Linked DNA regions of Rhinolophus ferrumequinum. Each later gene encodes a partner of the first gene's protein in a complex. Links are inferred from orthologs where the notes say so. Each region holds a gene or a part of one and is shown on either strand. Other genes may lie near its edges.

What was found. Proteins that work in one complex are often made in the same cells at the same time.
Region 2: SNIP1 (region 1) and RBM48 share a complex: the UniProt entries of both Homo sapiens proteins name them as parts of the minor spliceosome. The link is inferred for Rhinolophus ferrumequinum from reciprocal best matches to the Homo sapiens genes SNIP1 and RBM48.

The regions. Positions count from the first base shown.
Region 1 is NC_046292.1:26,222,956-26,230,052, forward strand, and holds the start of SNIP1 (smad nuclear-interacting protein 1), read right to left. Parts: upstream 3,034-7,097; 5' UTR 2,950-3,033; coding exon 2,723-2,949; intron 1,243-2,722; coding exon 1,143-1,242; intron 298-1,142; coding exon 1-297. Other genes in the region: DNALI1 (axonemal dynein light intermediate polypeptide 1), read left to right, coding at 3,923-4,003, 4,554-4,699, 6,450-6,619. UniProt on the Homo sapiens protein: Required for pre-mRNA splicing as component of the spliceosome. As a component of the minor spliceosome, involved in the splicing of U12-type introns in pre-mRNAs. Down-regulates NF-kappa-B signaling by competing with RELA for CREBBP/EP300 binding.
Region 2 is NC_046303.1:33,699,815-33,707,178, forward strand, and holds the start of RBM48 (RNA-binding protein 48), read right to left. Parts: upstream 3,094-7,364; 5' UTR 3,056-3,093; coding exon 2,945-3,055; intron 2,405-2,944; coding exon 2,214-2,404; intron 648-2,213; coding exon 508-647; coding exon of another isoform or gene 502-507; intron 1-501. Other genes in the region: peroxisomal ATPase PEX1, read left to right, coding at 3,421-3,549. UniProt on the Homo sapiens protein: As a component of the minor spliceosome, involved in the splicing of U12-type introns in pre-mRNAs.

The DNA of each region.
Region 1 (7,097 bases):
AGGAACCAGCTCCTGAGACTCATTACTGCTGGCAGTAACTTCATTCTTCTGGCGATGCTCCCGCCGTCGGGCGTTATAAAACTCCCGCTCTGCTTCCTGAGGCTGTAGGTTCTGAAGGTTTCGGTCCCGGCCCTGAGCCTGCCCACTCCCAGGCCTCTCGTTAGACGTTAGCCTCTGGTGGGAATGGCCCCTGTGCCTGTCTCGGTCACTGTTCCTGGCTCGCCTGTGTTCCTGTCCTGATGCTTCCCGGTGCTGCCGATCCTCCCGTCCTCTCCGGGGAGGATGATCCTCCCGTTCCTGAAATTCAAACCCATTCAGGAAATCAAAGGCAGTTCACAGCCTATGAACAAGCCGCATTCAAAAGGAATGTGATTTGGGCTTTGGCCTTCAAGAGCAAAATGTCGCCCAGAAATAAGGTTATCAGTGGTGGTGATGTACCTGTCCAAGGTCACACTGTGTACCCCATGCTGAAGCCCAGCTATAGCTCTAACAGTGCAAGCCCATGTTCAGTGCCCTAGAAACAAGAGCACCTGCAGGCAAACTTATAGGGGAGCATATACAGAAGAGAGAGCTAACAGAGAGTCATGTACAAGATAAATACGTAAAGAAAAACAAGCTAGCTTTCTCTTATGCCAAAAATGAAAATGTAATAGTAATTTTAAATTATTTCAACAGTAACAAAAGTCATTTCATACCCAGGAATACACTTAAGAAATATGTAAGATCTGATGTGACAAAATTATAGAAATGGACAACAGAAGTTGCCAATTGAGGGGTATAAGTGGGAAAGTAGTGGGTGTGACTGTAAAAGGACAACAAAGGATCCTGTGGTGGTGATGAAAATGTTTTATATCTTGACAGCGTTGATGTCAATATTCTGGTTGTGATATTGCACTCTAATTCTGTACAATACTCATTGGGAGAAACAGGATACAGACTATACGCCATTATTACTTTTACAGCTGTATGTGAATTAATAATTATTTCAAAATAAAAAGTTTAACAAGACAAGCAGAAAAACCCCCACCCAGTTTTGAGAAAAGCCCATTGCAGGTACAGGTGAACACACACACAACACTCCAGCTATGACGGAAAGAGGCTCCAGATTTGGACCCAGTATCACAATAGCTCAATCCACTTACCAGCTTCACTTTGACTGTTGAGTGGTGAGGACTTCGGCTTCTGTTACTTCGAGGAGACTTGCTTCTTCTCCCTGAGGACTTTTTCTTTTTGGCTGGGGATCTTAAGAGAATGAGACACACAGGATTTTATCTCAATGTCCCTTCCCCATATAAATTACCTTCCGATATCAGGCTTACTACTACACAAATACCACATTTTTGAAGGTCTCTGCTTTTCACACTGTAGGAGTTAGGAGCTTCACTTTCCTAGCCCTAACCTCTCCCAAGTTCCAGACCCACAGACATAACCGCTTACCAAACCCTCTCACTTACCATGTTTCCCTGAAAATAAGACCTAGCTGGACAATCAGCTCTAATGCGTCTTTTGGAGCAAAAATTAATATACCCGGTATTACATTATATTATTATATTAATTATACTATATTATAATACCTGGTCTCATATTATAGTAAAATAAGACTGGTCTTATATTAATTTTTGCTCCAAAAGATGCATTAGAGTTGATTGTCCGGCTAGATCTTATTTTCGGGGAAACACGGTATATATGTAACATAACTCTTGATTACCAACCCTTCAAAAACCTTTCCTTTTTGCCATCTCAGTAAATAGCATCACCATCCACCCCGCTACTCAAGCCAAAAACAAGAAGTCAACCTTGATTCTTTTTTTTCTCACCACCAACAGCTTCCCACACCCGTCCCTGCAATCACATTCAATCCATCAACAAGTCCTCTGGCTCTGTCTCCTCTCTCTCCCACCTCATTCCAACCACTCTCCTTGATCGCTACACTGGATTTTTTTCTATTCCTAGAACAATCACAATTAATTCCACTTCAGGTTCTTGGCACCTATTGTCTTCTCTGCCTGGATCTTCCCAAGGCTGGATTACGGATTAGTCTTACTCAGGTCTCAGCGCAAATGGCACCTTTTCAGAGCTGCCTTCTCCCACTTCCCTCCAATCTCTATCGCATTACTGTTTTAATCTATCCCTAATACTTGTTACTAACTAAAACTATTTTCTTCATTTGCTAGTTATTTTGTCTCAGGGCTAGAGCATGTTAATTCTGAGAAGGTAATGACCATCTACCTTGTTCACCCTTGTGGCCCCAGTACCTAGGGCACATAATAGGTACTCAGTAAAACTATGTTGAATGAATAAATGAAGGAGTCTAGCAAGAGACTTTTTCCCCCCAGAAGTTCTATCAGGTAGATCTCCTAGGCCTTCCATACGGAAATCTTTGGGGCCAGGTTAAATGTAAAGACAACACTCGCACTCCATGTGCAGGCAGGTGGGGAAAACCTTTCATTTCAACTTAAACGATCCGCTGGCTCATACTCGGCGAAGCGCTGAGCACACAGAGATGAAAGGGCAGGATCCCGTCCATTGGGTGCTTAACACCCAGCTACAACACAGGTTGACAGGTAAACAGTAACACAAGCACCACCCCGATCTCTTTCACACCTTAGAATTAAGTGCAAGCCGCTGCGCTCAGCGTTCAAGGTGTGTTTCTGACGCTAGCTCGGTCCCCCTTTCTCAACGAGCCCGACCTAAGGTCCACTCCAGGCTGCTTCCCACTTACCGACTACGTGCTCGGGCTCGGTTCCCGCGGTGACCAGGACGTCCCGGCTCGCCGGCCGGTGGGGACGCACTACCGCCGGAGGAGTCCGGACGGCGGTGGACGGGAGGAGCGGCCTCCGGGCTGAGGCGCTCCTGCTTCACCACCACCGCCGCCGTCGCCGCCACTATGTCCTCGTCCCGGTGCTTTCGCCGGTTCCCCCTCTCTCGCTCGCTCTTCACGTCCTTCATGCTGAGATATCCGAGGAGCGTAGGAAAAACTACGTCCGTTGCACTGCTCTCGCTAAAGGAAATGACGGGCTAGACGCCTGGACTTCCGCTTCTGCGGTGTACGCTCTCCCAGAAACCCTCGCGAGGGAGAAGCCAAACACGTGACAAGGACGCTCTTGTGGGCGGGGCTGTAGTGAGGCGACTCGGGTGGCGGGAGTTTTGTTTCCAAAGCCAACCTCTCGGAAAAAGCTAGTCTCGAGGCTATTTGTCGTCGCATCATTAGTAATTATTAAACACGGTGACCACCTAAATGCCCATCAGTAGGGAGTTGTTTAGCCAATTGATGGATGTTATATTGCCACTCACAATGCTATTTACAAACTCTATATGACAAAAGGAAAAAACCCTGACTTGTTAAACGACAGAAGCGGGATACAAAATTGTGCGCAAACTGTGCTTACATTTACGTTTGGAAATACGAAGGAAATGAAATCATATATGGTAGCCCGTGGGCAAATCATTAGTATTTTCCCCTCTAGTTTTGAACTTTCTGTTACGTTGTCATTTCTCCATTTAATTAGAAACAAATACTTTTTAAAACCTGAGAACTACAGATGTCTTCTGGGAACCTTCCCCAATCCTTCACTGAGAAGTCAGATGACTTCCACCTTTGCAGGTAAGAAAATTGGGGATCAGCAAAGGAGACCTGCCACCTCATTCAGGTTGAGAGCTACACGTGGCGCAGGAACCGAAACCCCTGTTTTTCTTTCTCCCAAGAGTGCCGGAGCGATTCGGTGAGCAGGAGGCCTGACGAGCTAACCGCAGAACTTTTCGTGAAAGCCATGCAGAAAAAAAATGGAGCTCTGCTGGCCCCGCCCAACTTCGAAGCCCCGCCCAGGCCGTGAGACTGGGAGAGGAGGTTTCCATGGTGACGGTAAACAAGGCCCAGCCTGGAGGGGCCGCTGCTGGGCTGCTTACTACTCCAGTTGCCGCCATGATCCCTCCCGCGGACTCTCTGCTCAAGTATGACACCCCGGTGCTGGTGAGCCGGAACACGGAGAAACGGAGCCCCAAAGTAAGGACGAATCTCAGGGGACGCGGGAGCCTGGTAGCTCTGATGGGGAAATGACAGATTCTAGCCTACAGGATAGGGAGTCCAGAGGGACAGAGGCTGAAACGACTGGGAGTGAAGGGAACTGGGATGGGTGAAGGATGGGTGAGGGAGAGAGGTACAAGAAGCCCAAATGTTGGGCGACTCCAGAGGGCAGATTTAGAATGGGGAAGTCACAGGGAGATGAATGGGGTTCACTCTTTTTCATGGTAGCCGGGTCCAAGAATAGATCTGGTAGTGATTGCCCCATTACTAGAGGTGTGAAAGCAGAGGCCCGAGCACCGTGCCAGAAACATCTGTTCAAGGAGATACAAGCATTGGGTTGGGGTGAGACCAGAGACTCTACACCGCCTCCTGCAGCTCTGAGACATAACTTCTGTTGAGAAGACAAATGGGAAAATGAGCTGGGAATAGGGGAGGGGTGTGCTGGAGACCTGGAGCAATCCAGAGTGCCAGGACCTGCGGAGCTCAGTGTCTGAATCACCTCCTGTCTTAACTTGTTCCTTCTTCTCAGGCTCGGCCACTGAAAATCAGCCCCCAGCAACCTGGACCCTCAGGTCCAGTCCCACAACCACCAAAGACCAAGCTCCCCACAACTTCCTGTATCCCAGATCCTACAAAGCAAGCAGAAGAAATCTTGAATGCCATCCTGCCTCCAAGGTAAAAAAGGAGGAACAGTGGCTGGGAGAAGGCCCAGGCTTTTCCACCCCTGAACATGGGACTGTGGAAAGAGGAACCCTGTCTCTGTTCCTGGTTGGAATTTCCTCCCACCATCCTAGAGCTCCTGGTGCTTGCAGGTGGCTGGATCTTGGAAGGGTGGTGGGGAGATCTCAATCTGCCCTCACTTCCTGAGTGCTCTCACTCAGGCTCGTGGCTTTAACTACCATCTATATGCTGATGGCTCCCAAATGTGTATTTCCAGCTCTGCCCTCTCCCCTAAACTCCATATATTCTACTACAACCTCATTACCTCCATGAAGATGCTAGTAGATATCTCAAACTCAACGTGTCCAGACGTAATCACAATTTCTTCTTCCCCCAACCTGCTCATTCCCAGTCTTCTCCTTTCTACTAGAGGCTCAGGTCACCTCTCATTCCTTTCGGTCTTTTACATTACAATGTCCTATCCTTCATCAAGTTCCTTTGGCTCCACAAATCTGACCACTTCACCACTTCTACTTCTACCGTCTTGTTCCTAGTCATTGTTAGTCACCTGCACTACTGCAGAGGCCTTCCTATCTGAAAACCCGGCTCCACTCTGCCCCTACAATCTATTCTTAGCACAGTCCCGAAATCATAAGGCAGATCACGCCAGGCGTCTGCCAGAAACTCCTTAATGGCTCCCCATCTCACTCAGACTGAGACCCAGAGTCCTTACCGTGACCTGGAAGACCTCGCGTGATCTGGCCCCTGATGTACCCATGATCTTATCTCTTATTCTCCTTCTGTTCACGGTGCTAATGCCACAGGGGCCTCGGCTCAGTGTCTCTGAAACACTTCACTCTTCCACCTCAGGGCCTTGACAACTGCTGTTCTTCTCACTGCCAAAGATACTCTCCACATGATAGCCACCTGGTTGCCTTCTTTCTTCACTCAGGTCTTGCTCAAATGTCGTTTCCTCACGGAGGCCTTCCTTGAGAATTCTTATAAAAGAGTACCTTCTCTCTTCTTCTTTACTCGGCTTCTTTTTTCTGTAGCCTCATTTATCACTATCTGACATGTTTTTCTACTATTTTTACGTAATAAGTTGACAGTTTTTTTTGTTTTTTTGTTTATTTGATTTTTAAGTCTATGATGAAAAGAGACTGCAATCTCCTCAGAGATAGAAGTCAAAGAAGGGGGAGGGGGTGATTTCTCAGTAAATTACTTCCCAGCAAGCAATGCATGAAAGTCCTCTCCCCCATGGTGGTTCTGCCCTTGGGCTCCCCCCTTAGGATTCCAGAATGGGGCCATGCCTCTTGACACGAGGTTTAGTATAGGGAGGGCTACATGCCTTCAAGAATTTCTCCATTCCCCAATCCACACGTTGGCCTCTTTCTGACTGGCACAAGGTTTATGGTGCCCCGTGTCTCCCACCCCACAAATCAGGGGGCAGTTCCTTCTGGGCCTTCTGTTCAGATTAAGCAACAACCACCAATTTGCCCTCTACACATTAGGAGGGTAAGATCTGGAACATGGGTGATGATTTCACAGTGGGAGAGTAGAGATTGCCCAGCCCCAAGGTAGGGGACCTGTGGAGGCAGCTTAATGGACATGGCTTTGGAGCCACACATTCCCCAAGGAAGAAAGGGGGACAGAGTTGCCCTTCACTCCTGCTCAGGCAGAGAGCTCAAACGGCCATCTCACTCGTGTCCTGAGGACCGTCTCTGGTCAATGGGTTTCGCTCAGCCTGGCTGTGTCTGTGCCACAGGGAGTGGGTAGAAGACACGCAGCTATGGATCCAGCAGGTGTCCAGCACCCCCAGCACCAGGATGGATGTCGTACATCTCCAGGAGCAGCTGGACCTGAAGCTGCAACAGCGGCAGGCCAGGGAGACTGGCATATGCCCTGTCCGCAGGGAGCTTTACTCGCAGTGTTTTGGTGAGTGGCCTGAGGACTGGGGGAGGGTACACTACATTCTGCTGTCTCCTTCCCTTCCCCTCCAGCACAGCCCCATGCCCTGAGGATCCCCGAGCTGAAGCTCCCCCATACGACAAAGCAAGGATGAAAATCTGTCTTTCTACCTGCCCCACCCAGGAACTGCTAAATACACCCTCTTCCCCCTCCCAGCCCCGCCTCTCCTACCCACTTGCCAGTCAACCTGGTTCCTGACAACCTGGTGCCTCACCTCTTAGCAGATGTTTGGAGTAAATGAGAACTTCCATTTTAAGTCTTTGTTTTTTCAAAGATTTCTATAATAAGTATGTATTAATTTTTTTCATCAGAAAGTTTTACGTTCTATATTTATATCCATCCATCAACATTCAGCCTTTGGTCCAGAAAAATATTTCAGGGTAATTTGTTAACTGACCGACACAGGGATTTACGATCTCCCTCCCCAAGTGCTGGTGTGACATGG
Region 2 (7,364 bases), on another chromosome or scaffold:
AGCAGTTGGTAACTGGTCTAAAAATCCTAATTTTCTCTCACTGCCTTTAGGTCAGACCTTAATTCCTTAGCATGTGACACAGGCCCTTCATGATTCACTTCCTGTCTTTTCTTAATCTTATCTCTGAAGTCTCTGTTTTGTGGTTACCCTGTTCTAGTCACAGTTCCTTAAAATACATGATGCTCATTTATTCCTCTGAGCCTTTAAAGATGCTATCTGGGTAACGTCTACTTATCCTTAAAGATGCTATCTGGGTAACGTCTACTTATCCTTAAAGATGCTATCTGGGTAAACCTCTCTCATCCTGTAGGAAGTTTTCCGCAAACCAGCATCTCTCCCTTCTCAGTCCAGAAAGAGTGCTACACAGAACCCTATAGTTTATAGTTATTGAATATTGTGATCATTTACTTGTCTCCCTTTCCACGAGACTGGGAGCTCCATGATGATATACCTAGCAGAATGAATGACACATAGTTGTGTTTAGTAACAGGCTTTCCATACCTTTATTTTTAGTAATTCTTGCTATATAAGCCTTCCTCTCTTGTAATTTTTTTCTAGTTTCTTCAACTGTCTCAAATTCTGGAGCATAGCACACATGAAGCAATCCACCAAAGAAACTCTGTTCATCCATTTTTCTCTTGGCTGTCCTGAACAGAAATACATGATAGCATGGTTTATCAATCTAGATTTACTTAGGACGAAAGCTTGACTAGTATACAATGCATTGATCTATAGAGCAAAGTCCAGCTTTTGCTATGTGCATGTACATCCTGTGGTTTGGGAATTAAGATGCTGTGCTTGTGAATGCTATCGACCTTACTGATCCAGTGCATTCTGTTAGAACATTGACTCCCCTCTCCAAACTGTATTAATAGGTTTTGAGCTAAGTGATCCACACATATACAGACTCCCTTTAACCAACTTAGGATCCAGCTGGGTAGCCTAAGGTGTACAATCTGGGGTCACGAAATAGAGATTTTCTCTATGGTAAGTTAAATGGCCCTTGAGAGTTAGTTCATACCCAATGTAGCCTTTTCAGCACAATGTGTTCCTATAATGGGATTCATATATGAAAAAATTAATAATTGTAAAACCTACAATAATTGAGGCAATACTGAATATATAACAACTATTCAATGAGAAAATGAGAAGACAGTATTCATTCAATAAATACTTAAATATCTATGACCGGTCAGGCATTACTACAATAAATAGTTAAGTACTTCTGAGACCAGGTATAATGATAAGAACTACTTATCATTATATGAGGTTTTACTAAGTACTAGGCAGTGTCCTAAGCACTTCACTTGAATTAACACTTCACAACAACTCTATGATGAAAATGAGGCCTGGGGACATTTATAACTGAGCCATGCTCACGTTGGTTTGTGGAGCTAGGATGCAAATCCAGATGTCAAACGCCAAGCCCTACTGTACTAGGTGCTGTAAAAAATGCAAAAGCTCTAGAAAATATGCTCCCCTCACCATGAGGAGCTGGCAAGTTGGATAGGGAAGTGATATTACATAGAAGAGCAACCTGAGAACAATACATGACCCCATAAAATCAAGTGCTTTAATGGTAGACTACATGTGCTATTCGTGGCACACAAAATATGAATTGTAATAGCCAGGGAAGGATGGGTCATGGAGCAAATTAGTAAGGGTCAGCATAAAAGTAGATAAAGCCTTTCGTATTTCAGCCTTATTGGAACAGAATTGTTGTATAGAAAGTGGAAAAGATGGCGTCAATTTACGCAGGTGCATAATAAGAACTTCAATAATCAATGTTTACTGCATTCTGAACAGGAGGCACCACACTAAGTCCTTTATATGGATTATCTCACTTCATCCTCACACAACCTCACTTAAGTAGGTCCTTCTACCATATGGATTTTACAGAATAGGAAAAACAGGCTTAACAGGGTTAAATAACTTGTCCTAGGTCGTGATGCTAGTAAGCTGTAGAACTTGAAAACTTACTCCAAAGTCAATTTTTAATTTACAACACTGTATGACAGAAAACTGTTAAGCACGGGAATGATATGATGGAATGTGTTTTGGTAAGGCTAACATTTAAAAACACTGGAAGAAGACAAGAATAATACAGGACTATGTTGTTATTGGGTAATTCAGGTATGAATGGCAGACAACTGGGTACAAAATAATAGCAACGGGAATGAAAAAGATAAGACACTGCTTAACTTGCATATTACCTTGCACTTTGTAAATTCACAAATTTAATAAGGTAAACTTCTGTAAAGTCTTCTGCTGGGTATTCATCTAGAGCATTATACTGTTCAATTGCTCCATACAGAGCAAATCGCTCAACTAATTCCTTCATTGCTCCCACTGCAGGAACTCCTTGTATTAATAAGTACCGAGATTCCAAATTAATTGTATATACCTAAAAGAAATGCAGACACATTAAACGTATTTCATAAATAAACCTAGGACAAATCTACTTAAAAAATAAAAGCTTTAAAAGCAAGAAATATTCTGTTCCACTGGTCTGCAGAACACAGAACATCAAAAAATGTGCACCTCTCTCTGCATAACGAAAAATTCACCCCACGTGTGAGGGCCTCTAATTAAAACCTAAAACAGACTACCTTAACTGACATGTTTTCCAGAAGCTGGCTCGGTAAAAGTTACTGGAGTTAACAAATATTCATTGAGAGCTTACCGTGAGCCAAGCACTATCATAAACACGGAAGACCCAATGACTAAAACAAAGCCCTGTTTCGCAGAGCTGACGTTCTAGCAGCCGACCGAAGAGGTCGTGGAATCTTGTGGTACCTGAGTACCAGGCTTCCTAACACCCATCTCCGATGAGTAAGGGATACAACCTCAGTCTTTCAAGCCTTTATTTACGTAGGCTGGGCATGTGAAACTAGAGCTCACATAAAACGACTGAACTTGCCGAATGAAACCAAAATCATTTTACCTTGACAGCACGAGGCCGTCGCCCCTCCCGATATTTGGCCCGCGTGTCGCATATAGCCTTTTGGACGTGGTGGTCGAATAAGGTCCCCAGCTCCCCACCACTCGACGCCATCTTGCCGACTTTGGCCCTCACAGAGACGACAACATCCGCCTGGCTGCCCTTCTGTTTGTCCAATAAGAGAGAGGGATGAGTCAAGACGTGCCGGGATTGGCTGAGGAATTGACCATTGTTTCCTGCAAGCGATGATTCGGTGAACGAGGTGCCGCCCCCCAGCGGCGCGGCGGATAGGCCCAGAGAGCGGGAGAAGGCTGCTTGCTCCTCCCCCTACTCGTGAGCGGTGAGACGCGCCGCTGGGCAAGGGGCCAGGGGACGAGGGGGGAGGGACCGATCGATTTTATCCGGGTCGGACGCTCTGGGCCTGCCGGGTTGGCCGGGTCCGCTAGGGTTGGCGGTCGGGGGATCGGTGTTGCCCGACAATGTGGGGCAGCGAACGCCTGGCGGGTGCCGGGGGAGGTGGGGCGGCAGTGACTGTGGCCTTCACCAACGCTCGTGACTGCTTCCTGCACTTGCCACGGCGCCTCGTGTCCCAGCTGCACCTGCTGCAGGTAAAGCGCTGGCTCCGACAGGGTCTCCCAGCCCGGACTCGGGACACCTGGTGTGTAGTCTGGGGTCGGACCCGACCGAGGCCTTCCAGGGACGCGGCAGCCGCTCAAGGCCTCATCCGACGACCGGGTACGGGTTGCTTTCCCGGTGCCGCCGAGCGGTGTAGTGGCCAAACTGAGGGCCCTTCGAGGTCAGGGCCGGTCAGGGCAGTCTGTGCACTCCACACCACGTCTAGTGCAGCCCGGGCCTTTTAGTTAACTGGCCTTATCCCTGGGCTTTTCATTCGGTGAAACTGAGCTTTCAAACATCTTAGTATTCTACCTCTACATTCAGATATTCCTCATTCCAGGTTAGAAAACCCTTCAGAAGGGCTTTTGTTGTTATTTTTGTTTTTTAAGAATGTTCTTCCCGACGGCGATTTCCAGGTCCCTGAGCGGCTGTGGTCCCGGCCTCCAGCAGAAGGAGCAGACTTGGTTTGCGGAGTCCCTGTGCGTTAACAGGGACTGAGCCCGTGTCCCACCAGCGGGATAGGTTAAAGGTTCTTCTCTGCAGTCACGGGCGGACGCTGGGAGCACCTCCAAGGTGTGCCAGGAACGTGCAGTGGATTGTGCATACTTGGATATCTGTAGTTAGGATTCTTGAACCTCTGTTGTCATTAGCCCTTCTAGATTTAGTATTGTGGTTCATGGCTTTAACAGTTGCCTGAGATATGACATCCCTCCTTTCATAATTAAAAATAGAGGCACCTGGTCTAGGAGTTTGAGTGTGCTTAGGGAGGCAAAAGGCTAGAATACAGGCACACCTTGGAGATACTGTGGGTTCGGTTCAATACCACTGCAAGAAAATGAGTATGGCAATAAAGCCACTGGTAATCTTTTTGCTGATAGAGGGTCTTGCTTTCAATTTGTAAAGAACGCACCATCTGTGAAGAGCAATAAAGGGAAGCACAATAAAACGAGGTGTGCCTGTATTTGAAATCCTGGAAAATCCTGGACGTGTGGTACTCACCACTGGCTAATCCAAGCAGGAAATACTTAGAGAGTTTGCAATAATTTCAAGTATCGCACCTTTACACTTTAGCTGCTTCTCAGTAACTATTTTTCTAGATTATTTCCCTCCACTATCTTTCAAAGCTTACCAAATTCAGCAGATCCTTCCATTATTTCTTTTAGCAGACAATCTTTTGGTCCCTACGAGCTTCTTTCATGGCTGGAGAAGAGTTCATCACTAAGTCTAGGCAGGCCCTGCCCTGTGCTCTCAGTGAGATTTGGTGGAGTTTTTCAGCTGCTTTCAAATCCCCACCTAATGAGTGTGTAGGAATACTGCTTATAGTAACTAATAATGTGGCCCTAAGATGTAGATGCTATGTTCAATTCATCAGTGTTTAAGAATTTAGCAGTCTTGTCTTTATTTTAAACTTTGAGCTTTCAATAAATATTCATAAGAATTAATTCATGGATATCTTTTTGAAATTTAAATCTCTTCGGCCTTGGAACGAATTGTTGTTTCTGTTTAACTTATATCAGCAGAACAGGACAACTTTTCTCCCCGATTATAAAAGTAATATATGTGTTTTATAGAAAATTTAGGAGGCATGGAAAATTATAACCCAGAAAATTAAAGTTACCATTAATCCCCAAATCTGGAGATAACTAATGTTAACAGTTTGGATCAAATCTTCCAGTTTTGTTTCGAATCTTTAATTGTTTTTAACACAAATGAAGTCCTACACACACATATAGTTTTGTGTCCTGCTATTTTCGTATAGTATTATTATGAGTGTTTTATTTTGTTTAAAGGTCATCATTTTTCGTGTTTAATTAGTATTCTATCATAAATTTGCCATAATTTTTCACTATGATTGGACATTTATATTGTATTAATTTTTAGACATTAAAAGTGATAACAATAATTATATTTTAATAAAAAAGAGCACATCTTTGTTTATAAAACATTATTTTCATTTCTGGTTATTTGGGGTGGGTTCCCAGAATTATTGGGTTTGAGGGCATATGTTATTATTAAAGCAGAAAGTCATGAGTTGGGAGTTAATAGGTTGAATTATTTTATTTGGGCTGAAGCATTGAATGCATAATACAGATAATACTGTAAGGGAGGGGATGAGGGTGGTTTTGTGGCCTGTGTCAGACTTACCCTGAAGCTTTAAAAAATACAGGTGTTCTTGTCCTTCCCAAGATCTACTGAAACAGAAATTGGGGAGTAGACATCTGTAACTTTTAAAATAACTCCAGGCTACTTAGATGCACAAATGTGCTGAGACCCACTGTTCTAGAATCATAGAATGTTGATGGTGAAATGGACCTTAGGTGTCTATCTCCAGGCATACCTCGGAGGTGTTACGGGTTTGGTTCCAGCCCACTGCCCTAAAGCGAGTGTAGCCATAAAATGAGTCTCACCAAAGAGCGAGTTATAATCTTTTTTGTGGATGGAGGGTCTTGCCTTCTATTTGTAAAAATGCAACATCTGTGAAGCACAATAAAGCTAAGCACAATAAAACGAGGTATGCCTGTAGGTCATTTCTGTACTTTTACACCGAAGGAGACTGGGACTCCTAGGCGGTACCATTTCCATGCAGTGAATTTGCCTTCTTGTCTATAAGTCACTCTGCGGCATCCAGACTAGGCTTCTCATTATTTCATTCATAACCCAGCTACTTCCCACTTCTGTATTTTTACTCAATGCTATTGTTCTTCCCTACATTTTCCTCATTCCACGCCTTTAAAAACTGAACATAATCCTACCTCCTCCAGATAGCTTTCAAATTCTCTGTTGCCTACATTTGTCTCCTTTTCAAAACTTTCAAAACTTCACTGCTGTGTTTATGTGACGCATCTCATTTGTTAAGCTCTTTTCTGTGTTTCAAGTATTGTCTTTTGTTTATCCAAGTCCTCGTTTCAGGACTGGATACCCAGTTGGTGCTTTAACTCAGGATTTCTTAACATTTTAGGCTGGGTAATGTTTTGTTGTGGGGGCCTGTCCTGGGTACTGGAAGATGTTTAGCAGTGTCCTTGGTCTCTACCTACTAGATGCCAGTAGCACCCCTCCTCCCAGTTGTGGCTACCAAAAATGTCTCCAGACATTGCCATATGTCTCCTGGGGGACAAAATCACCCCCAGTTGAGAACAACTCCTTTAACTTAGTTACTTTTTCTGTACTCCAGGCTCAGGACTTGCTATGATTGATGAAATGGGGGAAAGGATTCATATGCATACTGAATTGTCTTCCAGAAATGACCAGAGAGGTACAGATTGTCATTTCTTTTGTGTTAGCTAGAAATAACCCAGGCTGGGACCTGGCCAGTCCTAAGGCATTGCAACCTATGATTTCACCTGAAGGTTTGGGCAACAGCAAGTAGTCAGTCATTTGCTGATTAGATTAAATTCCTGGAATAGGGGCTCCTTTCTCTAGTCTGTCCCTTCTCTACCTGAGTGCCCAGGGCGCTGTGGTTCAAGTGAAAAACTTTTGACATAAAAATGAACTCAGAACATCACTCTGCAAAGTTTACTAAATTTAACTGAACATATTTTATGACATTTATGGAGCTGGTTACTACATTTTGACCAAACGAATCATTGAAGTATTTTTTCTGTTTAATAAAGTTGGTTTTCTCCTTTTCCAGTGAGTTGGAAGAATTCTCCTTTTTGATATTTCAGGCGCATTTCCTATTTCCTTATTTAACATCTCTACTTTTAAGATTTTCTTCATGTGAAACAGAGACACTGTCACTGCCTCTGATGAAACGCCGTAGAAAGCATCTGGGGTGGGGTGGGCACTTTCGCTCTGGTGACCTCGGCTC